Linked DNA regions of Drosophila melanogaster. The protein of the gene in region 1 interacts with the protein of each later gene in a pairwise test. Each region holds a gene or a part of one and is shown on either strand. Other genes may lie near its edges.

Region 1 (3,305 bases):
ACCTCAGTGACCACCTGGCGGGGATTGCATCCGGGCTATACTCACTGGCAAGGGTAGGAACAACCAGATCCGCAGCTGCAGCCATTGTCTTCCAATCTCACACGCACACACACACAGGAACAAGCACGTCGGTGGTGTTGTTGCTGTTGTTTTTGTTGTCGTGTCGTCTGATGTACAATCAGTGTTGGTCAACGATTTCGTGCTTGAATTGGTCACACACGGTTGCCGTGTACGCGGTGTATCGATAAGCGATAGTAAACATGCATGGGCATTGGCGCCACAACGACACGTTTAAACATCAACCAAACCAAACCGAACGTATTTAGAACTCCAACAAAATATCTGCTCCACGTGAATTTAAAAACATTTTAGTACTAAAAAATTTGGAACAGAAACGCTAAGCATTTCGACTGCTCCAATCGAAGGTGTGCTGATGGAATCTATATGTTAGAACAATTATTTTCAAAAATCCAATCGCGGCATATAAAATATGAGCGGTTATTTTCGGATATTTGGCTAGGAAACGGTAGGAAATATTTAGAGTATATATTACATCTTAACACAGCTAAACATTCTTTATTGAACAAATAAATCCAAAGTTATATGAACACAATTTAAATCTAACCAACGAATTTGGCGATTAATTGTGTTTAAATCTATACACTTTCTGATCGCGAGTTTTTATCTTGTAACACGTTAAAATATATACATATATTCTTAATTCGAAAGCTGATTTAAGAGACTAAGAGCCGAACAGCCATTTACTACAAATCTAAATCAGATATTAATAACACCAGGAACTCACAAAATACATAGATCGAAGTGGAATACATATAATTTACATACAACTAAGATATTATATTCCGACATCATCGACTGATGAGATAGCTCTCTGACTAAAGACTTGCCCGCACTTAGTGGACCGTATGAGGCAACACCAAATCTTGGAATTTTAAACATTAAACTAATAGATCACACAAGTCTGTACATTCAGGTAGGGTGAGCCCAGGCTCGGCGCCACTTCAGCGATAGAGCCGCACCTGCTGCTTGAGATCCTGGTCGCTTATTCGGTCCTGGAGGTTCAATTCCGCCTCCTGTTTGCGCAGGAGCTCAAAGATGGCCGCCAGCTGCTCGCGCTCTATTCGGCGCTCCTCCTCGATTTGGCTGGGAGTCAGGGTCTTCTCCATCTTATGCTGGAGCCTCTTGGCCTTGAGCTGGCCCATCAGGTGGTTGTAGCTGTGCTCGGGCAGCTGTTCCTCGATTAGCTCAACTTCGCTTTCGGTGGAGTTCTCTTCGTAGGCCTCGTCATCGTCGGTTTCCTCCCCTTGCGGAGTCCGTGACTCGGAATCCTCCTCATCGCGCGGCTCGTCGGCCCCCAGGCCCTCGTCCTCCAGTTCCTGCAAGATAATGTAAGGAAATATTCCAGGAGACGTCTACTTCTTCCGGCAAAAACACCCACGCCTTTGTCCTTGAAGATGTTGGCGAAGTAGAAGGCGACCAAAACGCACAGCAGAAGGGTGACCAGCGCTACCGAGTAGTGGCCTGGTAGTCCAAGAAAGAGAACATCCAGCGAAGGCAGAAAATCCTGCATTTCGAACTCTTTTTGCTATTTGTTGTGACTGAGTTCACTATTCTTGTTTTTCTTGGGGCGCAGTGTGGCCGTTAGCTGCGAACGAAATATTGCCAAGCAGCGCTAAGCGGATTTTCAAAAGGTTTTTTTTTTAATATTTTATATATTGGAAAAGTGAAGTACCTAATCCAACTTTGTTTAGTAAACTAACACTAAACGCATACATTTTAACAATCAAGAAATGGTAAATTACAAAATGCTTTAATATCGATGAAATCCACGCAGTAGTAGATCATCACATCATTTAAATAAATATTCTTAAGTCTATTGGCTGATGTTCATAGCAGATGTGTCCGAGCTCACATCTGCAATGTGGAATGAGGCATCTTCGGCGGGCATGTCATCCTCATCGGTGTACAATCGGCGTAGGCGCTCCTTATAGCTTTTAAAGTATAAGGGTTATTAAATTCGGAATGCATGAACAAATTAGGGCGTCTTACAGTTCGCTATCAGGATTATTGGCTTGATTTCGGCACTTGTCCAACTTTTTCTCGATGGCCTTGACCTTCTCCCGATCGGGCTGCTGATATTGCTTCACCATTATGCGAATTTCTGTCGGGAAAAAGGCATGTAGGGCTGGGCGCACCATCTCACAGCACAAACTTACTTCGCACGGCATCTATGAGTCCGGGTAGCTTCTCCCTGGCGGAGACAAACAGAAGATCCGTCACATAGCTATCGAGATTCTCTTGCTCTCTGCTGGCCGCGTGGAGGACGGCAGCCAATGCAATTTGCGAAGGCGTATGCAGAAGACAGGCATCCGAGTAGTACGTGGAATCAATGAAACTATCAATATGTGGCCGCAGACGATCTGGATTCTGCATATTGCTGCGAGTCTGAAACAAACCAATATGAACGAAACAATCTGGAGAGCAAATGTGAATATATATCGCACTTTTATATCTATCAGGAAACCCTCGATGGGTCTGAACGGATTGTGTATGGTGAGGTAGTAGTTGAGCTGTCCAATCAGCAGTAATTCATTGGACAACACTATGTCGGTGGCCTTGTTCCTGTCGCCCTTGATGTTGTTTACGAACTGGTTGATGGACACGTTGAACTCCTCAACTTTGCAGGCAACGAACACGCATGTGGCTCTGAAAAGGTTTATACATTTTTAGAATGTTTTGCTTTTCAGCTGGGTGTTTGCTGCTCTCAGGTGAGCGTTCCTACAGAATCTCCTTGGGGTGATAGTCCATGGGGGAGTTGTTCAGATAGAACCGCTTGAAGTAGTGGAAGGCCGTGCCCACAACGCACTTGGGCATCGTCGGTTCGAAGCGGCGGCAGAAATCGAACAGGTAGATCTCGTACTGCTTCAGCAACAGGCGCTCCTCCGCCGACGTGAGAAAGTGCTCATTGAGGTCGCGACCCTGCGCCTCCTCCTCGTGCGACTCGATGTACTTGCTGTTCTGCTCCACGCGGAACTCCATGAGCTGGCCCTCATTGGCGAATGTCCAGGACCTCTTTTGCGAGCTCACAGGATACATCTTGCTCAGCTGCCGGCGAATTTATGCCGATTCGAAACTCAGACACCCTGCATGGTGTTACCGATTGCGGGACGGAGAAAAATACCAGTTGTGAAAAAATATTAGGGTGATTCGTACAATAGTCACTTTTATTTCATTGGAAATCAGAAGCGCAAGATTGGCAAAAATTGAGAACGTATAACTAACTG
Region 2 (7,741 bases), on another chromosome or scaffold:
TGGCGCAATATGGGGCAGGCAAAGATCGAGTGGAATCGGAATTCCGGCTGCAGATCGATCTCAATGGGCAACTCGTCGCAGCCGTTCCACATGCCAAGGACTTGGCGCGACTGCATCACCTGCTTGATATTGAGCAAGGCGGGCAGGGCAGTGCATCCGGCATTGACCACAACAGACAGGGCGGAGTTCTTGCTAATGCCTAGCAGTTGGCATGCGTCTTTGAGGAATATGAACGACAGTTCGGTCCACTTCTCCTGGCCCAAGAAGTGCTTGTAAGGCGAGTTCTCCAGTCCACTGGGCAGATATATAAAGCTGGCCATCAAGTTGGCTATTTCGTGCTCATAGCGCACAGCAAACTTCTTGAAGTTCAGTCGAGCGTAGGAGATGGCCTCGCGCTGCGAGTCCAATCCGTAGGAGACCAGCTGCATGAAACGCATGCGGTGCAGCCGGAACTCTATGAGCGAGTGGCGGTCACTCAGCTGCTGGGAGTACATCTTTGCCCACTTGAGGGCGTCAGTCAGATCCCGCTTTTGGATCTTCACCCAAATGCCGTAGATGTCGGCAAACTCGCGCTCCGAGTCGAACACATCCTGGGCATGCTCCGGCGACATCTTGCACTCGCGGATTAGCGTGCGAGCCACATCGTCCATGCCCTGGCGACAATAATGCTTGGCAATGGCCTTGTTCAGCAACATCAGGTTCTCCTCGTCCTGCAGCACGTCCACTCGCATGGTGGACGAGAAGTCGGCGCTAAAGTTGCGGTCAATGGCCTTGCCGATCTTCGAAATGGAGCCGTGCAGATCGCGGTGCTCCGTGGACAGTTTTTGCACGCGCTCGTGGCACCTGGCGAGAGCATTCCGGACGCTCTCCACTTGGCGCTCGGTTAGGCGTTGTGGTGCCGTCGGTTCCGTCTCCACCTGCATGCTCACCGCATCGCCCATGGGATCGTCCTGGGACACCTGGGTGCTCGAGTTCAGAGTGGTCACCAGCTGCTCCGCCCTGCTGAGAACCTCTACCAGCTCCGACATCTGTGTGGCTATATCTCCGATGTCCGCCTCTGCGTTCTCGTGAAGCTGCTCCAGTTTGCTGACCACTCGGGTCAGGTCCTTCTCCACCGACGAACAGGCCAACGACTCGCTGTCCATTGTTAGCTCCAGTTTCGTGGGGTGAAAGCCTAGAAACCAGTCACGCCAGGCGCGCGTTCACTTTCGATTTTACAACCTTTTGCTTTCGAGGATTGATAGCACTGTGATTCTTCAAAGTCACGACGATATTCGGTGGTCCAGCGGAAAATGCGTATTTATAAATTGTTAATTTTATAACACAAAGAAGACGAAAACATTGGAGCTGGGTGGACCACTCACGATGCTATCGATAAATCGAATAATTTTAATTTCGATAAAGGGCAACAGTGCTGAGCGAATTAATATTTGTATATTCCGCATTTTACGTATTACCGTTATATTGGATCCTTAGTTGATCCTTAGTTATATATAGTTAGTCTAGTTTAACATCATAATAATGCATAATAAAGTAACCATTTTACGAACCAAATATATATTTGACCTTTATATATTAATAATAATGTGATTCCATTTAAAACAATTACAAATATACAAAAATTTATTAAATCCCATAAGCCTTCTATCAGTGTAAAGGATCCGTTAACTTTAAACGATAGAAAAGTATCGATAGCACTCGCATGCATCGATTGACAGCCAATGCTGCCCATCTCCGTTCGGTCGACTGAAAAATCAATTATTATTGCTGCTGCTTTCTGGCAGAGAAACTTATAACGACAAACAAACAGTTTGAAATTAGCGTAATTAGATAAGAAAACGAACTTTGAAACCAAAGGTGTTAGTCTTTAAAAACGAAACTGATAATTATTTAAAAGGTACCTCAGAACACGAGAGCAATTCCAAGGACAAAATCTCCACACTTTGAATTCATAATTTTTAAAAATAAGTGATGAGTCTTAAGCCGAACGGCATTGAACCCAAATTACAAATGCTGTGCCTCCAAAAATAAAAGCGCAGAGAGCTCGAAAAACGTTTTCCAAATTAATGTAGACAGTGACAAGAAGAGGGAAATTTTTAAAATAAAAGTGGTGGAAATAAGAAGATGCTGTGCAAATAACAGACGTGCATAGTAAAAACAATTTTACTTTCGCCACTTTTCAGTCAGTGCGCTTGAAAGCGAAATGGAAAACGGTCGGAAAACTCATAGCACTTGGCAGTGTGTGTGTGCGTGTGTGATAACAAGAGCGAAGAAGCTGCGAAATGAAAAATATGAAAACACGAAATTTCGCACACAGTGCTGGTCAGCAAAACAGCAGCAATAGCTCAAAAAATTAAATTTAAAATTATATTATAAAATTTTTTTGCTGAAATATTTCAAATTAAGTTTGCCCAATTTCCCAAGCAGTTATATGTATTTTGATTTAAAATCTATTTCCGAAATGAATTAGAGAGCATTAATGTTATGTCGGCTGCTGTAGCGTAGCTCTCGGAAATTCCCGGTGCAGGCCCAAGCTGCAAATCACTTGTCTCATCAAAAATAAAGGAAAATAATGGCCGACGACGATTATGGGGAAAAGCGCGCCCGAATGGTGTGTCGGGTCTTCAGATCTGATCTGCCGAAAATTCGCTAATAGTTTCAAAAATTTGCCTGGCCAGTTCGGGAACAACATTCGAACTTTGCGTAAGCAGTCGCTCTGTCCAGTTTTCTGTTTTCATTTTTTTTCGAACCCTTGGTCGTTCAAAAACCGTTTTCCAAAAGCGATACGAAAGCATTTTCTTTTGGAGAAACGTTCAATATTATTTATGCGGTCGTTAATTGTGATTTGTGCGGTGGGAAAAGTGAAAATAATAAAGAATTATTAGACGGGCCGAAAAGAGCGAATTGCGCGAGCTAAAAATAAAAAAGATCGGGACCGCTATTTATGTAATAAACTTTTTTGTTTTCCCGCAACAATATTCAAACGTATACAGCATTTTGCGCTGCGATTCGTGACCGATCAGTGATGTGAATACAACTCCAACGAAAGCCGGAATCAGCGAACTGTAGCGTGTAACCGATTATGCATCTATGTATCTTTCAGATAATGCTTTAAACGTACAGCAAATCAACCATTAGCCAGCCAAAATGAGCCAATGCCAAAGTTAAACAGCAACTAGAAACACAGCGCATAGTCAACAGCTCGCAGGGAGCCATCAACGAACCAAATCGATCAGGAACACATAGCAGAGTTGCCTTAGGGACTAGCTTTAACCACGAACCCATAGCCAAACGAATCCAGATAGCCCACGGAATCCGCTACCAAGCCAAAATGCCCGCTACAGCCACATCCAAGCCGAGAGCTCCGCTCGTCGAGGAGGGCATGACGCCCAAGAAGACCGCCCTGATCATCGTAACCGTGATCGGATGCATTGCCATCCTGTGGCCAAAGGTCTTCCATCCCATGATGTTCGGAGGAGTGCCTCCAAGCCAGCCAAACTTCAAGGATCCACGAGCAGCACCAGGCGGTAAGTCATCAGATTCTATTCACCACATTAGGAGCTAGGGCTTATAAATGTTGTACTTTACTTAATTTCATTTATCATTTATTATTTATGAATTATCATCATGATTTTCTTTTGATTTCCGTATGTGGGTGTTGTTGTTGTCCGGTCGATGTTGTAGGATGTTGTGATGTCGTCCTGGACAGGGAGCAGTTTCTGAATGCCACGAAGAAGGACACTGTCGAGCCCTTCGGTCCGCATTTGTATCGCAAGCAAATCAATGTTTACACGGGCGAAATAAGTATGTGGCTCGATTATTTATAATTTGCTTATTGGTTTTACTAACGGTGTTTGGCTCTACTAACAAGATTGTATCTACATGAAACAATCGATTGAGATACATTTAGATTCCTAACCTTTACGGTATTAATGAGTTTATTAATGTTTGGGTTTCTAAAATGTAGTGTTTATGTCAATTAAAAATTTGATAGTTTAATTGTGTTACTAATGAATCCATTGTGGTCGCAGGTCTGCGCCAGGAGCGTCCCGCCCACCTGCATCCGGAATCCATATACCAGGCCATGAGGGAGCGGGGTCGCGCCATTCCCGCCACGCCCACCGTGCCGATTCTAGAACGAAAGACTTCGCCCAGTAATCCGCCTCCGCGGATTGTCGACGGACGGGTGAGTTGGGCTACTATACATTTAACCATACGGTGTGCATTATTCTCCGGACGATAAATCCATAATTATAATATATATAGTTATACTGGTCGGCGGGCTGTGGTCGATGTGATTATAATGACGGCGGGATGAGACATATCCGCGCTCGCGTTGGAAGTCATTTATAAATAGCCAAACGTTTATTTTATTCGGATTCGGGTTTTGTTTTTATGACACTGCACGCAAATTGAAGGCAAGAGACAGCGCTAAAGAAAACACAAAAAAAGAATTTGTAAATGATGAGTGGGAGATCGGCCGAATGTGCTGCTGCGTATTGAACTTGTGCCAAATTCAGTGCGCCAGTTCCATTTTGCTCTCATCGCTACTAGAATGCTAGAATGGCCGGGGAGCACAAATCAGCTGTCCTCGCCTCATGTCAAAATACAACGGGGCGGATACGTAATTTTAATGATTACATGGGTTGTCAATAAAACACAATCGATTCCCTTCTCCTACAAAGACATCAATTCAAAAGATTTCGAAGACAACTGTCTTGAGTAATCTTTATGTCAATATACATCGCGGCGGATACGTAATTTTTATGATTACATAGGACAATAGAATATACATATTCGATCAGTTCAAAAATATCTAAAGACAATTGACTTAAGAAACCACCGGGGCGTATACCTGATACATTTAATATGACCTTGATTGTTGGCGGCATTCTATTGTATTTCAGTAACTTTTGACATATGTATGTACTTTCTAGCCTGGACCCATTCCTGGAATGCGTCCACCCATGGGCGCCGGTGCACTGCATCAGCCACAACAGCGGGGCAGCAGCATGGGCTTCCTAATGCCACTCTACACCATTGGCATCGTAGTCTTCTTCGGCTACACCCTAATGAAGGTGACTCTCTTTGATCGTATATATGTAATTATAATACTATAAAACTCTTACATGCAGATTATGTTCAAGAAGCAAGTTCCCAATGATCCGTACGGAGCGGCGCCTCCAAATCCTGCCTTCCGGCAGGAGGTCTTCGGATCACAGAACCACAGCCAGGTGGAGGATTTGGGCGGCAGCAAACTGGGTGAGTGCCAGGCCAATTCGGATGCCATCTTCCGGATTATTACACTCGTAGTTGGACACACACACACACAATCGCTCTAGCCACCGCACTCACGATTCAATCCTAACCGAAAAAAAATCGCATTTTGTACTCTTCTGCTTCCAAAAAAACCCATGCACACCGAAAATCATGCCACGGTATCAGGCTGGCGAGAGCATCAGACAAGTAAGCCAGATATATATAGATGGTTGCATAGATGACCATAGAGTTTCGTTCGTATCTTGAGTTTCTAGACCTCGACAAAGGCCTTTTGAGTTTTGAAATATGTCCTCCTCATTTGGTATCGTAGTATCGTAGCGACTATGTGTTCTATTTCATTTACCTAGATGTACTCATTCTAGATGTTGTGTGCCTATATACTATTTATAAATATATATATATACTAACCCCGAATTGATCACGCTTCCATGGATATATACATTTATTTTGTTGCCACTCCTGCACCCGTGTAAATACTCCTTAGTTTCGTTAGTCCCTCGATTGATTCGATTTCCGGCCCTGATTACCAAACCGTACGACAATTTTATAGGAGCTGCCACCGCCACTGCCGCCGCAAAGAAGCCGGCCGCCAAGGACACCGAAAAGGAGCTGTACAACGCCAGTGTGTCGGCCACCGAGGTGGCGAGCAGTTTGTCCGCCTCTCTGAAGAGCCACCAGCAGCTGAAGGAGGCCGAGCAGCTGATGGAGATCGAGAAGCTGCGCCAGAAACTCGAGAGCACGGAGCGGGCGATGGCCCAGTTGGTGGCCGAAATGAACACCGATCAGTATGAGGCAAAGGTTAGCATCCAGCATCCAGTATCCAGTAGCTTCCTACCATCGTCATCGAATCGGAAAAAAGCAGATACAGATACAGATATAGCTATACAACGCGACTCAGATACATCTAGTAGCACATCATATATCGTAGTGATTTCAGTTGGACCATCTCGCTGTCATTTGAATTAATATTTGATCTCTTTTGTGTTCTCATTTTCAAGATGATTGCCCTCAAGTTTCTCAAGCGGCAGCCAAACTTCTAAGACAATAATAACCATCATTCAGTTCACATAGAATCAGTCAGTAAAACAGACCAAAATCAGACCAACAACAACTCAGATCACAACTAAGTACAACGAACAAAGTCAACTAGATTATTTCTGTTTTCAATTGGTTTCTAGTGAATAGCTGAATCCTCGGAATGGTTTCTTTTACCCCCCTGCCACATCCTCCCCCCCAAAAAAAGCCTTCAGTTCTAAAACTATGTCACTCTGTCCTTAATCTTCAAGTCTAACAAGTGCATGGAACGGAATTCTCCCGACTCTGTTTCTAATTTAACCTGCTTGTCTGCTGTCGGCATGCGATATATGCATATATATATATATATATAAACATATCTTTTCACATACTCGTATCTACTAACGAACCCAGTCTAAATGTGTTTGCATCTCACTGAGTACTCTCGATCTGAACTAAACTAAACTCTTATGATGGGGACATATTTTACGATTCAAAGCAGTCTTATTCGAAATCTATTCGAACACTATACGTAACTTTACATTGCCAATAAAGATAATCGCAAACATCATTTCATACTCAGAGCTACAAAGAAACAACTATATAAATATTCACTCTCTGTGTCGTTTCTACGTTTTTCATGTTTCTCGCAAAAACACAAAAAAAAAAATGAATGTAAATCCCAAATTGATACCCTGTACTTTCATGGGGCTAGTTGTTACGGCCATACAAGGTTTGATAGACGCGGCCGACGAGCAATTGAATGGCCAAGACAAGCAGAGGGCGACGAGCGACACTGAAACTGATTCGAATAAGGTTAGAGACCTTCAAAGGGTCCGGCACGGCAATCCTTGAACATATAATTTGTAACAAGAACTTAATCTTTTTGTTTATTAACCAAGATCCTTCGACTAATTGAGTTTTGTTGCGTTTCACCTAACCACAACGAATTGAAGTAATTAATGCGTTCGATTTCTGATTTCTTGCGTTTTGAGGCTGTATAGAATTGCTTAGCTCTCACATTCTACTGACTGTTTCGAGAGTGTCCTCTCTAACCGTATTATATCCTGTGTATCCTGTGCAGAAAAACGACAACGAAAAAACGAGGGAGCAACCACTAGACAAGCAGAACCTATCCAATGGACATGCAAGCAGCACCGACCAAAATCCGGAGCAGGAGACCGTGGCGAAGGGAGCCAGGAAACGGCGGGATCTAAGCGCTGAACAGGAACTGACGGTATGCCATTATATACCCTGTATAGCACCTTTGAGTACGTAGATCTTTGCCGTAAATAATCGAATATTGGTGCAGGTACTCGGCATGGAGTTAACAGCCAGTTGCGAGGGCGGCCACAAGTGGACTGGACGCCCTCCAACGCCTGTTTTCCGAGCGCCAAGCGAACATGTAAGTGCCACTGACGCACAGACCCCCCACCACTTTCAAGTT
Region 3 (2,810 bases), on another chromosome or scaffold:
CTACCCAATAAATGACCCCCGTGACTTTTAACGCCAGTGCACTTTGTCTGTAGATTCGAAAAACGTGAATTTCCATTTTCTTTTTTATGCGCTGAACTTTTTTTGTAATTTTTACGATAAATTGCGCGTGAATGATGCATAAATCAAACGAAGTTGAGGCATTTTATATACGAGAGTGTATATGAGCTCTGTCAAATGTATCGACCGAGTAAAAATTTACATAGCATCCGTTTTGGGTCCATCAAGCAGTGATAAATATGTAGGTGCATGGTAATAAGAGCCGGCAGAAAAATATGCACATGCATTTTTAACAACGATTTAAGGATGAATTTCATGAAAATCGAGCTTGATGAATAAAAATATCAATTTGGATTGACGGAATTACGGGATTTCATTTGAGAGACAACTCAAAGAGCTTTGTATGTGAAGGAGAGCTCATAAAGAATATATAACACGCTAATGAATGCATTACACAACTTTTTTTTTGGATCCAACTTTAATCTTTAATGGAATAAAAGGGTTTTTTTTAACAAAATCAAAAGATTTATGTGTACTTTTTTTTAAATTACTTTTTATTTATGACACATTTATGTAGAATTGTCCACATTTAGGGGGATTATGACGTCGGATCTATTCGCTCCCGATTTATATGAAAGTAGGCGAGAAAAATTATGAAGACGGCCAATCCGACGAGTCCGCACCAGAAGCCAAAGGATCCGCAATTGAATCCATCCCGGTATACCTCGCAAATGTCCCCGCCAACAATCAGATTCAGCTTATCCTTAACGCCAGGTGATCCAGCCATGGAATATTTTTCCGGCTCCCCAAATTTAAGCCACAAATTTTGAAGTTTTTCTAAAGGCCGAGAGTAATGTGTGGGCCACAGGCTCCTGGGATTAGGATTCGTGTACGCCGTGCCTCATCGGAAAAGTACGCTAACAATGATGAATCATCATGGAGGGCAACAGGATATGCCTGCAACGTAATTGAATTTAGTGCTAATGATGGCATTGACGATAGCACATAATATTCGGCATTAATTCAAGCAGACATTAATTGATTGATTATTTGATTGCATTATTGTCAATATCACAATTGCAATTTGGTCGCTCCGCTTCAACGGGTCGTCCTGTGTATCTGTATCCTGGGTGTCCGTCGAGCGCGACACATTCGCGAAATTGAATGTTTGTCATCAGGCCAACAACATTGATAATAATAATTTAGCACAATTTACACGATGACAGCCATAATTAATCGATGCAATCGTGCCTTCAAATAGCAGTTGAAACGGGGCTTATTATGGGCACTGGAAATAAAAACGAACTGGTGTATATACTTAAATTGTTTGCATAAAAAACAACAAAAATTTACATTTAACGTAATATTTCGGGAAATTATAAAAGAGCTTCTCAAAATAATTATTTTAGTTACCATTGTATTCGCAGGACACCGCAAATTGTTTGTAATAAAGATTTCACCTGAAGTCCATTCATTTTCATGTTAATTCACTGGCCTTCCTGTAGCAGGTGAATATTTGACTTAAGAGCCGGATAAAACTTGCGTTTTGCTAAAGAAAAGACGAGGGAAATATTTAATTTACATTTAACTTTCTGCCGCCCCTTTCCACTCAGCAATTATGTGGCCCGAGGAGATTCTAAGCGAAATTTTGTGCGCCCTGCAATTATACAAAAATTCTTCTTGGTCTCGTTTCTTTCTCGTATTGCATTATTCATGGGCAGGGGCTAAGCAAATTAAAAGCCAGCTTCCCAGCCCAGCTGGCCAAATAATTGTTTGAAGTTCGCTCTTGGCCTGGCCTGTAATCTGCCGCAGTTTTGGCCACTAATTTCGCCCTGAGACAAAACCGCCTACCGAAAAGAGTACTCCGCAAGCACTAAGCTCAATTGAAATTGCTTCTGGGATAGGGAGGCAAGAAGGAAGACTGCTCGAAATGCCGTAGAGTAATTGAAATATTGGCAGCGAGCTCAACTCGTAAATTATGCACTCGAATCCAAGCATAAAAAAAAAAAAAAAACGAGGGAATACTCACAACAGTTCGCTGTGTAAACTAAAGATAGGGAAAGAGCCAACTTTCCTGAGATTCCCTTTAATTTATAATTTATCAGTTTTGTGCTTTTGAAGCTGTTTTTGGCTGCCCAACAAGAAAACTTTGATTGCGGTAATTAGCAAATTGTGCAACTCTCTCAAGGTCCACTCCCCCTTTTACCTCTTCTACCTGGAAGGCAACAAAATGGTGGTACAAAGTTTGAGTGAAAATGTATATGTTAAACTGCATTACAACATTTAATTAAATATTTAACTAAAAGGGGCAAGTTGTTGGAAATTTTGTATGCGTAAAAGTGTGCTACGAATTACAACAATTACATTTACAAAACCTTTGTAATTGACTTTTTATCAATGCTTTACATATCCCATATATTATAAGCAAACTAGCTTCTTAAACTACCTTTTTATTTTCAGTTGTGTAGTGGGAGTTCAACTAAAGTTGTGTGAAAAGGGTAAGCCGGGTAAACCAATTTGCTCAGGGTCCCTAACATATCTGCCAGAATATATGTATATCGCACAATGAAATTGCCTATGTGGCAATATAGTTTCCTGCCATATATGTATGTAGCTACTGCAGCAGGGAACATCAATTTTGTTTCCCTCCGCCCGGCTTTTATTATTGTTACTTCGAGGCTGCCACAATCCGATGCCCAACCCCTGCTGCGTTTTTGCCAGGTAAAAACCTAAGCTAAGCAAACATACAAAAAAGTGTTAGTATGCTCAACGCGACTTTCGCCACCACATAA

The links. Proteins that work in one complex are often made in the same cells at the same time.
Region 2: the proteins of CG7407 (region 1) and RIC-3 interact in a two-hybrid assay, tested with the Drosophila melanogaster proteins (one large-scale study listed by BioGRID).
Region 3: the proteins of CG7407 (region 1) and CG34170 interact in a two-hybrid assay, tested with the Drosophila melanogaster proteins (one large-scale study listed by BioGRID).

The regions. Positions count from the first base shown.
Region 1 is NT_037436.4:21,821,818-21,825,122, reverse strand, and holds CG7407 (uncharacterized protein), read right to left. Parts: upstream 1,663-3,305; 5' UTR 1,592-1,662; coding exon 1,460-1,591; intron 1,398-1,459; coding exon 1,023-1,397; 3' UTR 552-1,022; downstream 1-551. Other genes in the region: eIF2A (eukaryotic translation initiation factor 2A), read right to left, coding at 46-85; CycH (cyclin H), read right to left, coding at 1,895-2,012, 2,071-2,182, 2,238-2,466, 2,526-2,727, 2,804-3,117.
Region 2 is NT_033778.4:21,016,056-21,023,796, forward strand, and holds the start of RIC-3 (RIC3 acetylcholine receptor chaperone), read left to right. Parts: upstream 1-1,728; 5' UTR 1,729-1,897; intron 1,898-2,089; exon of another isoform or gene 2,090-2,213; intron 2,214-2,676; exon of another isoform or gene 2,677-2,703; intron 2,704-3,007; exon of another isoform or gene 3,008-3,027; intron 3,028-3,103; 5' UTR 3,104-3,331; coding exon 3,332-3,527; intron 3,528-3,684; coding exon 3,685-3,804; intron 3,805-4,031; coding exon 4,032-4,186; intron 4,187-4,937; coding exon 4,938-5,078; intron 5,079-5,135; coding exon 5,136-5,262; intron 5,263-5,445; coding exon of another isoform or gene 5,446-5,466; intron 5,467-5,830; coding exon 5,831-6,078; intron 6,079-6,278; coding exon of another isoform or gene 6,279-6,320; exon of another isoform or gene 6,321-6,407; intron 6,408-7,009; coding exon of another isoform or gene 7,010-7,110; intron 7,111-7,378; coding exon 7,379-7,531; intron 7,532-7,606; coding exon 7,607-7,699; intron 7,700-7,741. Other genes in the region: Sou (souji), read right to left, coding at 1-1,145.
Region 3 is NT_033779.5:17,310,955-17,313,764, forward strand, and holds CG34170 (uncharacterized protein), read right to left. Parts: upstream 867-2,810; 5' UTR 806-866; coding exon 617-805; 3' UTR 514-616; downstream 1-513.